Linked DNA regions of Arabidopsis thaliana. The protein of the gene in region 2 interacts with the protein of the main gene of each other region in a pairwise test. Each region holds a gene or a part of one and is shown on either strand. Other genes may lie near its edges.

Region 1 (4,732 bases), on a different chromosome or scaffold from region 2:
TTGGGGTATTCTACAACATATTAAAAATCTCACTTGTCAGTGATAATTAACAATGCTTACTTGAGTAGCTTAATTTTCTTGAAGGGACGGGGCGATTCCTGTTCTGACTCTGATTGTTGGAGGAAACCTTCTCAATGGTAGATAAACAATAACAAATGGCTGCAGAAACTTTTTTTCCTAAGACAAAACCTTAAATCTCTGTTCTCTCTCTTATAATAATCACAGGTCTGAGAGGTTCAGGAATAAACAAGTCAGTCATAATGGGTGTGGTGGTTGTGCGTTACTTGTTGCTGCCAATATTAGGAGTTTTCATAGTACGAGGAGCGCATTACTTGGGTTTGGTTACATCCGAACCGCTTTACCAGTTTGTTCTTCTGCTTCAGTATGTCGTTCCCCCAGCGATGAATCTTGGTTCGTTCTTCAGACTCACAAAAATACTACCAAAACATGTCATCACACTGTCTTTCTCATAAACTCACTTGACCTTTTGGCAGGTACAATCACTCAACTATTCGGATCAGGAGAAAGTGAATGCTCTGTGATTCTATTCTGGAGTTATGCCTTGGCTTCAGTTTCTCTCACTGTCTGGCCAACATTCTTCATGTGGCTCGTAGCCTGAACATCCACACACACACACTTACACAAATGGGAAACAGTTGCAAATCTTGCTACTTTGAAATATTAGAGAAACTGATATATTCTTTCATTGATAAAAATGTTGGAAGGTTATACAATTGGGAATAGAGACCCAATCAAAAGGGAATATTGAAACTTCAATCATCCTAAGATAGCAGATAAATGCTTGAGACAAGCAAAGACAGAGATAGAACAAAATATCCTATTGAGAGTTTATAAAGAGAGCCTCAGAGAGAGGACTTGTCAGGCAAATCATCGAAGTAAGGATGCTCCATAGCTTTCTTTGCTGAGATTCGTTTTGCTGGCTCGTACTCCAGCATTTTCTGTGCACAAAGAGAAACACAAATTAGTCTCAGCAGAGTGATTATCTACTAATCAAGCAAGGTCTGAGAGGTGTGTTAGACACTAGAGACTTACAGATAAGAGATCAAGTCCAGCCTCGTCGAGGTTTGGCACAGCTGTGGAGAGACTCAACGGTTTCCATTGCGGGTATTCATGCCAGTCCTTGAGTTTGCTTACTCCAGGCCAAACTTCTTCGTTTGGTGTTCCCAACAACCTGAGTTTGACAGGAAAGAAAGAAACAGAACAACCAAGTTAGCGAATGTCATGTTTGTGTCTTAAAGGTAAAGATGAACACAAAGACTTACCTGAATATACGGAGGAGCTGTTGGAGCTCAGAGTCTCCCGCAAAGATTGCTTGCTTGGTCACTAGTTCAGCTACACATCAAAAAGGAAACAAAACTGTTAGTTCTTGCTAGTGACATTGAACTGAAACCAGTGAAACTGTAAGAGAAGATTTTGTACCAAAAATACAGCCAACAGACCACATATCCACTCCAGTAGAGTAATGGGTTGCTCCAAGAAGAACTTCCGGAGCTCTATACCATAGAGTTAGAATCTGTTGCAAATGAAATCATGGGGGTAAAATCATCCTGAGTTATAACTCCAGATAAACTAAGATAGAATTAAAAAAAAAAAAAAAAACTAGAATGAAACAGGACTAATGTTTCATCAACGTAGACTTATATACCTCATGTGTATACTTTTTCATTGGGAGAGTGAAGGCTCTGGCTAATCCAAGATCTGCTATTTTGAGCGTCATTGTCTTCCGGTCCATCAAGAGATTGTGAGGCTTAAGATCCCTGTAATGAAACCAAGACAAGTAGGATTAGAGATCTGTGTCAAAATGGGTTATCTCAAGTCATAGTTCTTCCAAAACAAAGACGATTTTTACCTGTGCAACACTCCATGACCATGGCAAAAAGCCATGCCTTTGCATAACTGGTACATCAAGCACTGCAATTCAAGAACATGTTTCTCTTAGCTTAAAGGGGCTTATCGGATGAGAGAAAAAAAGCAGAACAAAATCTCCAAATATCCAAACCTTGACAGTATTTTGTGGAATGTTCTGTCCAGCTTGACGAAAGCTTCTGATGAATTTCTTGAGATCAGTATCAACATACTCGAAAACAAGGTAAAGTACAGTTTTTCCTTCTTTGTTTATTCCTTGCTTAACATCCATCAACCTGTAGAAGAAGATAATCATCATAACAATAATCTCTCAGTAGAAATGCAATCACCACAAAAATAGTTGAAACTGAGATCACAACACAGAGCTTCTACTTTGACATTTTCTAGTATTCGGATAAGATAAGGAACCCATTTTATCTCGATCGGACCACACAACAAATAGCAAACTGAAACTAAGATCTACCAGTAACACCTAAGAGCGACACTAAGCGCGATTTGCAGGAAGAATCAGAGTCATCAAATCAATTGAGACATCAATTAATCGGGACTAAACCCTAGAAATCGAAATTGAGTCCTAAATCCACAATCAAAACCAGTAAATCGGAGAATTTCAGAAAGTGACTGAACCGAATCAGAAATGTAAAAGGAAATCGAACCTAACGATGTGAGGATCACGAGCGAGCATACGCAAGATAGAGATCTCGCGAAGAGTAGTGGGAGGAACACCTTCTTCATCCTCATGGAGACGCGTCTTCTTCAAAGCAACGATCATCCCAGTAGCTTTCTCTCTTGCTCTGTAAACTTTCCCATAAGTCCCTTCACCTACTTTCTCAAGCTTTTCAAAGGCTTCCATGGCGGAAACAGCGGGTTTAACTCCATTGTTGTCCATCTCTATCAATCTCTCAAGACAACTCTTCTTCTTCCTTCGCGAATCTCAGATTTTGTTTTCAATTTGGGGAAAGAGAGAGGAAATGTAATTAGATTCGAGAATTGGTTTAAATAGGAAGGAGATTATTAAAAAGGTATATTCCCTCTTTGAGCACTCATGTTTTTTCAACGGTTCTTTTTTTCTTTTTTCAAAATTCAAAACTGGAGCGTCGTCATTAGTTTTTTTTTTATGTTCTGTTTTTAAGTGTGACGTGGAAAAAGTGAATAACCAATGTTTGTCAACATCCGGAGACGGTTTAGCTACACGAAAGGAAAAAAAAAAGGGGAGAGTTTGTTTTTTGGTCAAAAGGTGTGAGTTTGTTGTTAGATTCGACAAAACACACAAGATGGGCCTTTATTGGGCAGGACGAAAAATTGACAAGCCAGAGAAGAACAAGTTCTTAAACAACATTGTCTTAAATGATTTTTTGTCCCAAAAGAAATAGTAATATACAACTAATTTTTAGATTTGAAATACATAAACCATAATAGTGCAATGATAAAAGCAAATGGGAAACAAACATTCTTATAAATCAGGACATTTTTTGTATAATCTATAGGCCCTAAATGTTTACTTGGTGGTATCAATGAGTCCCATAATCGAATTTATATAGGAGATGCGTCGGTCATTAGAAGCAACAAGCACCTTCTGTTGCTCATCCTCCTCTACAAAGAACAAGGAGGGCGTCAATTTATAGAAATCTCGGACGCAATTGGGCCAAGCAAGGGTTGACACCAAAACTCCCCAACTGTTAGCTTCCATGTCGTACACATGAAGAACACTTGCCAAAGGTTCTAAACCCATCTTTTTCACCCTCACCACAAGACACTTGCCATCGTACATAGCTATGTTCCAATATACAAGCGTTTCTTCCTCGATAGATATGTTCTTGATCCGCCTTGTGAGTGTCCATTTGTGATTCTCGACAAGTGTGTAAACGGAGATTGTTTCTATCGTCCCCGAAATTAGGGTCAGGCGATTGATCTTAACGCTTTCCGCGAAAAGTAGCTTCGTATCCGGTTCCCGATGAAATATGGAAGGAATCAAGCATGCTTGCTCTGTCTCGGGATTAAAAGACATGATGCTGCCATCGTTTCTCAGCCAGTGAAGAGTGTTGTCCAAGTAAACAGGTTTCATCCGCGTAGTGAGATCACTTTTTGAGCTAGTGGTGATACTCGTTTCCGATAATCTCCAAGAGTCTCCTTCGTTGATCTCGAATCCGTATACGTTTTCCATCTCGAGTATGCCCACGATCTTGAATCTCTTGGTTGTTAGATTTCGATTTACCGCAAATCCAACGCACATCGCTCGTTCCGTACAAGCAACATTACCTCCAGGATAACTAATTCCGCTAAGACCTTTAAGTCCACCATTAACTATCATTGGTATAAGCTTTGATCCAGAATGATCCAGGATTCGAAACCTTTTTGTTAAGGGATTTGCAACAAAGAGACAACCAATGTACAATAGGAGAAGACCAGAGCATGAGCCGAAAATGTAACAATCCGCACTACCATCAAACAGTTCTACTCCATTTCCCGGTGACATATAATCGCATGAAGAGACCAAAGGATGGCAACATACATAAGTAGCGCCATAGCTACCAAGGTTAAACAAACTAGGTCTGACCCATGAAGGATATTCCGGTCCAAATCTTGGATCACTTAAATATGATTTGATAGAATTGTTAGTGCATCGCATCATAGCCATAGATTTGGGTTCTAATCTGAAGAGAATCTCGTCGAGAAGGTCTAAAGGTAAATCATTGATGATGGAAGATGAATCAAATTGAGAATTTCTTGGCAAATTATTCATGATTCTATTTTGCTTGGCGTATGTGAATATTTTTGTGTTATTTTCAACATATATATATATATATATATATATATATATATATATATAATAATAGACAACATA
Region 2 (6,092 bases):
TAAACAATAACACTGTTTTTACCATTTTATAGTGAGAAGTTACCGGTTTAGGCGTCCTGATCTTTGTAAATGAATCTCGTGCGCAATCACGGCGGTAGAGGCTATTGCCATACAGAAAATTATAGGTAAGTCGACTTTGAGAAAAGTATCTGAAGCGGTTTTAAGTCGAGCTACAGACTTAGGGATTTCTTGTTTGTTTAGTGGAGGACTATATAAGGAACTGTAGCTGTGATAACTCAACTTAAGGAACTGAAGTGGGTATAGTTGAGAGTTTTTAAGGAGGAAAAGTGTTGGCGTATCTTCGAATTTTAGGATTTGATTGAATTTGTGGAAGATTGAAGAACTTCAAGCCATGGAAATACATACATTGAAGTATACCTGAAGACTAATTTGACGAATAAAATCAAGCATGGAGGAATCAGTAAAAAGGGGATACCAAATGTTACACGGGAGACGTTAATTGTAGATGGAAATGTTTCCATATGAATATAGCATTGCGAAATCAGAACAAACAACATAACAATCCAGCCATGAACAGTGAAATTTATATTAATTAACACTTTTGTATTCGTTTTCCAAGTGCTCCTAGGTACAAAATCCCGCAGGATAGTAAATAGTTGTAGCAATGCGATTAGAAAAATTCCATAACATTTATTTAAAGCTAAGTGGTGTGACAAGTAATGGCCTACAATTAAGGCGCCACACAATAGCTACAGAATTACAGACAGACAAAACTGGCAAAGAGACGACATAACATCCAATGTCTGAAAATAGGTATTTTGATCACCTGACTTGGGCTCTGTTTTCGATGTTGCTTGGTGTCATCTTGAGAATAGTGATGTGACTCGTTTGGGAGATGTCAGCTTTGCCACGCTCTTAAACTATCAAAGTCATACAGAATTAAAACCAGTTCAATCATTCATTCACTTTTCTTCAACAATCAGTAGTTTGATTTAACGGTGTTTTGTAGAGAAATGTACCTTTGGTTGGTTGTATTTCTCACGGGTGGCAGCGAGAGTACAGCCACTGGTGTTGAGCTGCAAGTCCTCCATGGCGAGAACTGTGTTCTTCAGCTCAGCTACCTCATATCTGGTGTAGTGTTGCAGAGTAGGGTTCTATAACCAAACATCATTCTTTTTATCAGCACAAAAAAGAGGCAAACACAAAAACAACCTTTTTCAAGATTCAAGAAACATGAGCTGACCCAAGGATGGTCAGTTTGGTCGAGTGTCCATCGGGCTAGGAAAACAGCTGAAGCAGCAATTAGTGATGGCAGGAACCTTAGGAAACTATATTCCACCAGTGTCAATTCGGCGAGATAGTTTGCTAAATACTCCAGTTCAATGAAAGGCACCTGCAAAATAATTATAAGAAACAACGCACTACATTCAGATTCCAAGTTTCTGTAGAAGTGAGGGTTGATGATAAATGGATCATGGTTTCATACCTTGTACGAAGCTTGAGCTGCTTTAATGAACCGCCTGAAAAAACATTGGTAAGATGAAAACTCAGTGGTACTATTTTTAAACAAAGTTGGAAAGATATGATGATTCATAGTTCTGCCCTTTAGTATTTACCTCAGAAATGTTTTGGTGGTAGGAACCGATAATCTAAAGTGCACAAAATTTAGAATTTGAATCTCCATGCTCAGCACCTGAAACAAAGATTCCAGTTTATATATTTTCATCAAGAATCTGTACACATTAAAGATACCGAGAGATGTGTGATTTGAATGTTAATTACTTCTGGTCTTGTGTATGTGTTGGCCGTAATGAAGCAAAACTCCTCCACCCCTGGTGCGGAAAGCTCTTCATATTTTCTACAAGGTTCAACAAAAATGTATAAGGAAGATAAGCCTTACTTGTTTCTCTACTTAGCAAGTATACATATATATATAGGTTCGCGCTCTCCCAGTGATGGAAATGCTGTTCTCATTGCTATAACCTGAAATTGACAAACACACACAAACAACAAAGTAGGGACTTACGAAGCTATAAGCATGCAAGAGACACCAAGGAGCTGGAGTCTTTGCCTTTCAATGTAACTGTTGGACAGAAACCGGTCGATAAGATTCACTGTAAGGTAAAGCGTATCTGGAACCAGCTTGTAGTCGTCAGAAACCTGAAAATACCACGCACTTCACTATTTTACTCAAAAGTACTCTCAGTTTTTGCTCTAATTTTTGTAAGAAAGCTATGTATAGTAAGGTTTAGTGTCCTATTCAATAAGAAACATAATAAGATGATGCCGTTATTTATATATATGAGCTAAGTTTGAAGGTAACTAACTTCTACAAGCCAGTCAATCAGAATCTTTCTCATGTCTGGGTCGATATCTCGCTGCACAAGCTCCATATAATTAGCCAAGGGTCGTTGTTGAAGCTGCAAGAAAAGAGAGGTTATAACTCCAACAGTCTTCATATAAGTAGTTATATTGAGATTAGTTACAAGAAGTTAACAGTGGAAAGATGTAAAGCAAATATTTGGATCATGTAATTCAATACCTCTGCAACATGTATGTTGTCATATATATCAGCAGCATACAAGCTGCAACACTGTGGATCTTCGACGTTGGAATCAATATCTACAACTTGAAGTAACTCCATGACACCTGATCCATCTTCTTCTGCACAATCCAGTATAAGATACATACCTTAAGTAAGTTTGAGAAATTCATGTTGGTATAGAGTTCACTTGTTTCAACCCTTGACAACACAAATTTAATGGGAATAACTAATTTCAGCATTCTGGAGTCCAATGCTTGATTTAAAGTTAGCGAGTGATCAACATGACCTCGGAAATGAGGAGAAGGTGGTAACTATCATTATTTTCACGAACACTGTAGTTCTTACGTTGCTCAGTAATTTCTTCATCTTTAAAGTTTGAAAGAGAGACATCTTGGGCTTCAGCCATCCTGATCTTGGACAAATCTTCTGCTAATTTTGATTTTTCTGTATGCATATCTACCAGAATATCCATGGCACTGTTAGCACCTTCCTTTGCTGCTTTTTTAGGCTCTTTTAGACATTTTCTGTTTGCCTGCAACGTGATGTCAACAGTAATAAGCCCAAAGGGAAAGTTTGAAGGCTATATTACCAACATAAGATATAAACCAACCAAGACAATGAAAGCGTATCATCTGAAATCTTTACCTTGATGTTGCCTCCCTTTCGAAGTTCTGAATAAATAATATCTGCAGAGGTATTACTCACATCCTTAAGTACTGCACGTCTCTTTTGCTGATAAACCAGAGGCAGGAAATTAGAGAGTTTAGCATCAGCTCTTGAAATTCATGACTTTCTATAAGAACATGTTTCAGTACCTGTTTAAAAGAAGGTTTTGTTGGAGGTATTGATACTCCTCTTCCCATGGCTTTTTTAGCTCGTGATCTCGTTATTCGTACAAAACTCTCCTGTACATCTGAAGTAGAGATATTTTCTTTGTTTGCATTTGGATGCATCGAAGAAGAGCAATACATAATTTAGTCTGGAAAAAGGCCAGTGGTTAAGCCAAGCCTGCAGAACAACAACAGTTCATAATCAAATGTCTATCCTTGCCTCCATCAAAAAGATCAAGCAATGTTCAAATGCAGCATAAATTTCAGGAAGAAACAAGCATATAGTGGCAATTAAAACGATTTCTTCATACTCAAATTTAGCCACAGATCTCAATTCCACACGATTCTAACTATTGAGTAAATGTCAGCTTAAACAAGCAACCCAGCTTATCACAACTAGTTTCTATGTTTCCTTCACATTAATCTGCATCGATAGATCCAATTTTCAAGCTAGTCATTTCCAAATCGAATTAAGCATTGTTCTTCATAGCAAAAATCCTTTAAAAGACCGATTACTTAAACAAACAATGAGCCATAGAGTACACACACGTTTCATAAAATCCAGTCAAACAGATAAGAACGATCTCAACAATTTCAATTTCCCAGTGATTAGCCATGCTTGAAGAACAAATACGCAGAAACCAAATACAAGCGGAAACAACAAAGAGGAATCGATCATCTCAATCGAAGACCAAAAAACATTCGCTAGAGAGATCGATTAGACTAAAATCCAAACTACTATTAGCTCCGATCGATCAAAACGCAGAGCAACAAGCTACGATTCAGAGAATCGGTAATCAAACAGGAAATTGTGAGCAGACGAGAGGTGATGATGATACCTGGCTCAACAAATAGGTTTATGAGTTTGTGAAGGAGCTCTAATGGCGGTAAGAGAAGCTCAAGGAGAGAAGAGAACGCTCCAGAGAGAGAGAGAGTGTTGAAATATGTGTAGGTGGGGGAGAGAGCGGAGAGGAGCGGGGGAAGCGACTGACTGAAAAAGGTACTGTTTGAAATTCGGATTTTTTTGGATATAACAAAAAAAAAAAATCGGAATTTAAAAAATCTTTCTTTGCTTTTTTTGGAAAAATCTTCAATTTCTTTGGTAAAAAATTGTAAGAATGATTTCTATAATTTGGTCCAAGTTACTATACAAGGAATAGTGCAACTGTCTTTTATTACTACACATATGTTGGAGCTGTCAATTAACAAAAAAAAGTTTATATGTTATGGTAATTTGTTTGTTTTTTAAGAACTACACTACTTCGATAGATAGACAAATTATTGGTCGAGAAATTTCCGACAAACATAAAATGGTAATGACTATTATTTTGAAAACAAAAAATATATTTACCTTACGTAAATTACAGTAATTTCTAATTTGGAAACGAAAATACATTAATAGACATTATATTTACATTAAACGATTCTGTACGATATTATCACCGCAATGTATCTACCATCATTCACGTTTTTAATCGTTGATTTACTTAATCAAATTAAAAGATGTTAATTTAAAATTCATGTATCTGGAAAATACGATCCAAATACACATCAACAAGTGCTCGAGTTCAGATCAATTATAAATTTTTGACATTTTTCTAATTATACACATATTTTCCAACTATTTTACCTTAAAATCAATTTAATATATTTGGTCAATAATATTTATATGTTTATTTCTTTAAAGGGATAAAATAAATTTGAAAAGGAAATGGAGGGAGAAAATAACCACATCCATTGCCTTGCATTCTCACAATTATTTCGAAAGATATTTATTCACATATAGAAATTCAAACATTAGTCAAAAAGGCGTTTCTACCAATTTAACAACATTAATTATATGTATTTGGACATATACGAATCACACGCATACACGGATTCTTACTTGCAAAATAATAAATTGTAAATTATCCAAAAAAATAAATGATAAATTGTATATACATCTTTATAAAAAACAAATTAAATACGTGTGGAGAAGGACTAGAAAGACAATTTCTAAGTTGTATGAGGATATATATCAAATATTCTATATGTAACTTCATTTTAAAATAATGGGCCATGTTGATCGATATTTTCAGTTAACAAACAAAAGCCCAAATGGCGCGTAATCGGAGTGTCCTAATTTTCTCGGCGGACACTTAATTCTAATAAACGGCGGCAGAAAATGAACTCTCTGTTCACCGCCTTCCGCCGCAACCTCCTCTTAAACCCTAATCCTCACCGCAACTTCTTTCTTCATAGATTGTTATCATCATCTCGCCGTTCATCCCCGCTCATTCCCGTCGAGCCTCTCATCCAACGGATACAATCACCCGCCGTACCCGATTCTACATGTACTCCACCGCAACAAAACACCGTCTCGAAAACCGATCTCTCTACTATATCGAATCTTCTCGAGAACACTGATGTTGTTCCCGGTTCGAGTCTCGAGTCAGCTTTAGATGAAACCGGAATCGAACCGAGTGTTGAGTTGGTTCACGCGTTGTTCGATCGGTTAAGTTCATCGCCGATGTTGCTTCACTCAGTGTTCAAATGGGCGGAGATGAAACCTGGGTTTACACTTTCTCCTTCACTTTTCGATTCTGTTGTCAATTCTCTATGTAAAGCTCGTGAATTTGAAATTGCTTGGTCGTTGGTTTTTGATCGAGTGAGAAGCGATGAAGGATCGAATTTGGTTTCTGCAGATACGTTCATCGTTTTGATCAGACGGTATGCTCGTGCTGGTATGCAGATTTCTTGTAGCTTCATCAATATTG
Region 3 (5,149 bases), 2.8 Mb from region 2:
ATTCTTTTTGGTCCAGAAAATCTGTTTCCCTTCCATTGAAGTGGTTTGCTGTTGGGCAGTGTTGGAGATATGAGAGAATGACACGAGGAAGGCGACGTGAGCATTACCAGTGGAATATGGATATTATTGGTGTGCCTGAAGTTACAGTATGTATCTCTCATACCTTTAATCACTTTAGGCCTTCTAGTTTTTTGTTATATGAACCTGATCTGTGTTTAAAGTCTCTATAAGCCGGCTAATTTGGTTCACAAACCTTTTCTTTTAGGCTGAAGCAGAACTAATTTCATCTATAATGACATTCTTCAAGCGAATTGGAATCACTGCATCAGATGTGGGTTTTAAGGTTTCAAGCCGCAAGGTATTTTTGCTTACGTTCTCTTTTGATGTGATATGATCATTTTGTTTCTTGGTTTACACTCTAGATACAGAACCAAGTAACTCACTTGCAATGCTAAACATGAGTTGAGATTATTTTGCACGATCTGCAGCATCTGAATATCCACTGTAGCTAACATCTCCCATAACTTCTTCCTTGTACAGGTTTTACAAGAATTTTTAAAAAAGTATGGTGTACCCGAAGACCTGTTTGGAAGAGTTTGCTTCATTATAGACAAGGTTAGCAATCTAAACATCAATTAACAGCTGCTTTGTTGCCAGAATTGGGACAAGAAGTAGAGAACATCGTGTGTGCTTTGGACAAAGATCTCCAAGGAGCTGCAACCACCATTGCAACCGCTCTTAAAGACAAAGGGCAAACCGTTGATTTAGTATTGGAGAGTAAACCGCTGAAATGGGTGTTCAAGAGAGCGGCTCGGGTAAACGCAAGAAGGCCGGTTCTGGTTGGGAAGTTGGTTCGGTCAGTGTCAAGGTTTTGTCTTCAGGTGAGCAATTTCAAGTCAAACTTGATGACTTGGAGTAGTAGTATCTAAGGCTTGAACAAATTGTTCAATTGTCCTTTTTTTCAAAAGCAATTGAGTTGAGATTGGATTTTTATTTTGTCCTCAAAGGTTTCATTAAGAATTTTATTGATGGATCTTCAATACTCGTTTATTCGTCTAATAGTGATTTACAAAATATACTTTTTGACTTCGAATCAGCCACATGTGGCATGTGATTTTTATTTCAAACCGAGAAATGCTAAAAAGAAAAGAAAATGTGCCTTTCGTGAACCTTAAGCTACATTATCACATAATCTTCGGAACTAGAAAAACTCTTTTGCTCCAGTTTTAGTAATGAAAGAGGATGAACATGATATGTTTATATTTCCTAAAAGCTCAAATCTTATCAACACTAGAATGAGTAAATTTCATATAATGAAAATTCATATCGAATGTGATTGACTAGTGGTATCAACCACACATGTTTTTAACTTTTTGACTTGATCATCCATCTACATTATGATGTATCAATGTATGTTTTTTATATTTGTTTTCATGCTTATTAAAGCCATATAAACATATTTTGGTAGATAATTCCAGTATTTAGCCAACAAAAGAAGAAGACGAAGATAATTTTAGTGTTTAGCCAAAATAAAAATAAAAAGATAATTCCAGTATTATATTCTGATTAACAAAAGACCTAAATTTCACTAAAGAGAATTAATCTTTTGGTAAAATAAAAAAAAAGTAAAGAAAATTATCTTCTTTAACTTTTTGTTTTTTTTTCACCTATGAGTCAGTTTGGTCCCTCTCTCTCTCTCTCATTGTGGACATCTTTTCACCATCGCACAAATAACAAGCCTCCCAACCCCGATCGACTTATCCTCCTCCTTCTCCGGCGAAATCCATTAACTCTCCGCCGCGAAAACCACCTTTCCAGAGTAGTATCACACTAAGAATTCTAATGTTGATCCGCCATTATTGAAGCTTCTAATTCTCGTTAATAACCAAAAACCCAAGTCGATTTTCAAGGTCAGTACTCAAAATCTGGGTTTTCGTCAAAATCAGAAACTTTCCTTGACAAATTTTAACAAATCTCTTTCTCGTTTTCTATTGAATTCTCCAGTAGCGCGGTAGTTAGTTTTAGGTGGAAGAAGAATGACAACTACTGGGTCTAATTCTAATCACAACCACCATGAAAGCAATAATAACAACAATAACCCTAGTACTAGGTCTTGGGGCACGGCGGTTTCAGGTCAATCTGTGTCTACTAGCGGCAGTATGGGCTCTCCGTCGAGCCGGAGTGAGCAAACCATCACCGTTGTTACATCTACTAGCGACACTACTTTTCAACGCCTGAATAATTTGGACATTCAAGGTGATGATGCTGGTTCTCAAGGAGCTTCTGGGTATGTAAACCACCTCAATTCTGTGATTTTTATATTAAAAGGCTTTGATGTGTTTATTGTGATGTTTGGTTTAGCGATTTTTAGGGTTTTCATTCTATTGCAATGGCTGCTTTTATGAGCTTAATGAATATATGAAACTGAACCAGTAGATGTAAGTATGATGTGTGGATCATACTTTTACAAGCTTGAATTTGGCTCTCCTGATATGTATTAGTCTAAAATCTACTAATAATCTGCATATTTGAATACTCATCTTTCCTATCCTTATTGGGACAAAAGATACTGTTTAGGCCATTGTCTTTGTGCGTTAATTTTTGTGTGGAAGTTGTTACATGTGTTCTGTGTAGTTTAGTTGATCATATAATCTATTTACAGTGTTAAGAAGAAGAAGAGGGGACAGCGTGCGGCTGGTCCAGATAAGACTGGAAGAGGACTACGTCAATTTAGTATGAAAGGTCTTATCTCTTTCTCTGCCCCTATTATGCTTTCATCTAAATGCCTTTCAAGTTTCTAGCTATGAATTGTGTGGATAATGCCTCTTAAGATTGGTTATACATTTAACTGATATTATGTTCGTCTGGCCTTCCTTTCAGTTTGTGAAAAGGTGGAAAGCAAAGGAAGGACAACTTACAATGAGGTACGGTAGTTTCCTTTTTAAACAAAAAGCTTCACAGTATTTATGCTTTGCAAGATCCATTCACTTCTGTTTATGTTATATGATGATACTGATTTATTGTGCTTACCAGTGTGATTAAACACTTGTCAAGATCACATATGGGAATATCAATTTGTCTCATGATTAGTACTGCAAACGTGTAGCTCTGTAATACGGTATCTAACAGGTGATAGTACTTTCAGGTTGCAGACGAGCTTGTTGCTGAATTTGCACTTCCAAATAACGATGGAACATCCCCTGATCAGGTATGCGTTTCTTCGATAGTTTCTACCCTGGAACGTGTGCAATACTCGTTGTGAACTCTGATGAAATTATATCATGTGAAAACGTTTTACCAGCAACAGTATGATGAGAAAAACATAAGACGAAGAGTATATGATGCTTTAAACGTCCTCATGGCTATGGATATAATATCCAAGGATAAAAAAGAAATTCAATGGAGAGGTCTTCCTCGGACAAGCTTAAGCGACATTGAAGAATTAAAGGTTTCAACCACATATTCTATGTGCAGATGTTCCATAGCTTGTTTAGAGAATTTTCCTGAATTTGAATTATTTTGTTTTGCAGAACGAACGACTCTCACTTAGGAACAGAATTGAGAAGAAAACTGCATATTCCCAAGAACTGGAAGAACAAGTAATGAACATCATCGATACTCTCGGCTTATCTGCTTCCTGTTACTTTTATCATAGATTCTTACATGGTCCTTCTATCATCTCTGTGTATGTCTGAAAGTATGTAGGCCTTCAGAATCTGATACAGAGAAATGAGCACTTATATAGCTCAGGAAATGCTCCCAGTGGCGGTGTTGCTCTTCCTTTTATCCTTGTCCAGGTAAACTTCACCAACAGCTTCGTATGATCTTAGATTGATCCACAAGGAAACCTCAGAAAAATGAAAAAATCACCTGATTGTTGTTGTTTCTCTGCACCAGACTCGTCCTCACGCAACAGTAGAAGTGGAGATATCAGAAGATATGCAGCTCGTGCATTTTGATTTCAACAGGTAAAATCCAAACACCAGATTTGATCTCTTTTCAGCTAATATATCTATGGAACCGATTACTGACACTGTGACAACTGTTTTCACTATTTGCAGCACTCCATTTGAGCTCCACGACGACAATTTTGTCCTCAAGACTATGAAGTTTTGTGATCAACCGCCGCAACAACCAAACGGTCGGAACAACAGCCAGCTGGTTTGTCACAATTTCACGCCAGAAAACCCTAACAAAGGCCCCAGCACAGGTCCAACACCGCAGCTGGATATGTACGAGACTCATCTTCAATCGCAACAACATCAGCAGCATTCTCAGCTACAAATCATTCCTATGCCTGAGACTAACAACGTTACTTCCAGCGCTGATACTGCTCCAGTGAAATCCCCGTCTCTTCCAGGGATAATGAACTCCAGCATGAAGCCGGAGAATTGAAACACGTATGAAGGCCCCTTGTACAATTTCTGTAAAACTGTAAAGTAGCTCTTGAAAAACTTTACCTGGTTTTTTGACGAATAGTCTGTTTAGCGGTAAATGTACCGGTGGTTTATCGAATCTAGGATCCTTGTCGGGTTTAGCGATTTTAAGAATCTTTGCCATAGGAAAAAAAAAACACTTTGCTCTGTGGTGTAGAAATGAATTTTATTAACCATTTGGATTAGTCCATGTTCGGTTCTGTTATTCGGAAACCCGGTTATGGACTTCAATTTTGGAAATTACGAAACTGAACTAATCGATTTCCGGTTTTGTTGAACCGAAATCCGGTTAAAATATTACCATATCAATCATATCATTAGAAATGTAGTTCTGTTTCATGTAATTCGGTCTGAATGTTAATAAATGCTGGGAACATCGGAGCTTGAGAAAGTCCGGCCATGGCGACGATTTCTCAGATACCTTTCTCTATCTCCTTCCCTTGTTTCGAATTTCGGAAACCATCGTTCTACTATCATCAGCCTCAACTTTTTGTTTCGTACTTGAATTCCACGAAGAAGCATAGTTTTATCTGTTTCGCATGTTCCACCAAACAAACCAGGTTCGAAATTTCTCGTCGTTTTTTTTTTTGGTTTTTGCTTCGATCTGTGGAAAATTGGAGACAGCAGACGTACTTCAATTATTGTTTTGGTTAATTGGTCTGCTTGAATTGAATTTGAACAGAGTTCGTAAGAGAGTGAAGAGCAATGAGGAG

Evidence for each region.
Region 1: the proteins of CYC3B (region 2) and CDKB2;2 interact in a two-hybrid assay, tested with the Arabidopsis thaliana proteins (one large-scale study listed by BioGRID).
Region 3: the proteins of CYC3B (region 2) and DPB interact in a two-hybrid assay, tested with the Arabidopsis thaliana proteins (one large-scale study listed by BioGRID).

Annotation. Positions count from the first base shown.
Region 1 is NC_003070.9:7,291,889-7,296,620, forward strand, and holds CDKB2;2 (cyclin-dependent kinase B2;2), read right to left. Parts: upstream 2,859-4,732; 5' UTR 2,777-2,858; coding exon 2,544-2,776; intron 2,163-2,543; coding exon 2,021-2,162; intron 1,933-2,020; coding exon 1,871-1,932; intron 1,779-1,870; coding exon 1,667-1,778; intron 1,535-1,666; coding exon 1,441-1,534; intron 1,354-1,440; coding exon 1,284-1,353; intron 1,193-1,283; coding exon 1,054-1,192; intron 960-1,053; coding exon 864-959; 3' UTR 620-863; downstream 1-619. Other genes in the region: AT1G20925 (Auxin efflux carrier family protein), read left to right, coding at 1-5, 85-137, 226-411, 495-619; AT1G20940 (F-box family protein), read right to left, coding at 3,386-4,630.
Region 2 is NC_003076.8:3,600,990-3,607,081, forward strand, and holds CYC3B (mitotic-like cyclin 3B from Arabidopsi), read right to left. Parts: upstream 4,362-6,092; 5' UTR 4,176-4,361; intron 3,515-4,175; 5' UTR 3,478-3,514; coding exon 3,322-3,477; intron 3,239-3,321; coding exon 3,152-3,238; intron 3,039-3,151; coding exon 2,852-3,038; intron 2,626-2,851; coding exon 2,504-2,625; intron 2,382-2,503; coding exon 2,289-2,381; intron 2,122-2,288; coding exon 1,988-2,121; intron 1,820-1,987; coding exon 1,744-1,819; intron 1,655-1,743; coding exon 1,578-1,654; intron 1,482-1,577; coding exon 1,448-1,481; intron 1,355-1,447; coding exon 1,205-1,354; coding exon of another isoform or gene 1,116-1,204; coding exon 981-1,115; intron 882-980; coding exon 822-881; 3' UTR 524-821; downstream 1-523. Other genes in the region: AT5G11310 (Pentatricopeptide repeat (PPR) superfamily protein), read left to right, coding at 5,501-6,059.
Region 3 is NC_003076.8:840,806-845,954, forward strand, and holds DPB (Transcription factor DP), read left to right. Parts: upstream 1-1,682; 5' UTR 1,683-1,910; intron 1,911-2,004; 5' UTR 2,005-2,036; coding exon 2,037-2,287; intron 2,288-2,662; coding exon 2,663-2,742; intron 2,743-2,880; coding exon 2,881-2,924; intron 2,925-3,145; coding exon 3,146-3,208; intron 3,209-3,301; coding exon 3,302-3,448; intron 3,449-3,530; coding exon 3,531-3,599; intron 3,600-3,698; coding exon 3,699-3,797; intron 3,798-3,897; coding exon 3,898-3,968; intron 3,969-4,061; coding exon 4,062-4,395; 3' UTR 4,396-4,649; downstream 4,650-5,149. Other genes in the region: AT5G03406 (Class II aaRS and biotin synthetases superfamily protein), read left to right, coding at 17-146, 266-358, 541-639; AT5G03420 (5'-AMP-activated protein kinase-like protein), read left to right, coding at 4,836-4,996, 5,119-5,149. UniProt on the Arabidopsis thaliana protein: Involved in the regulation of the G1/S transition. Increases the DNA binding activity of E2F proteins after heterodimerization.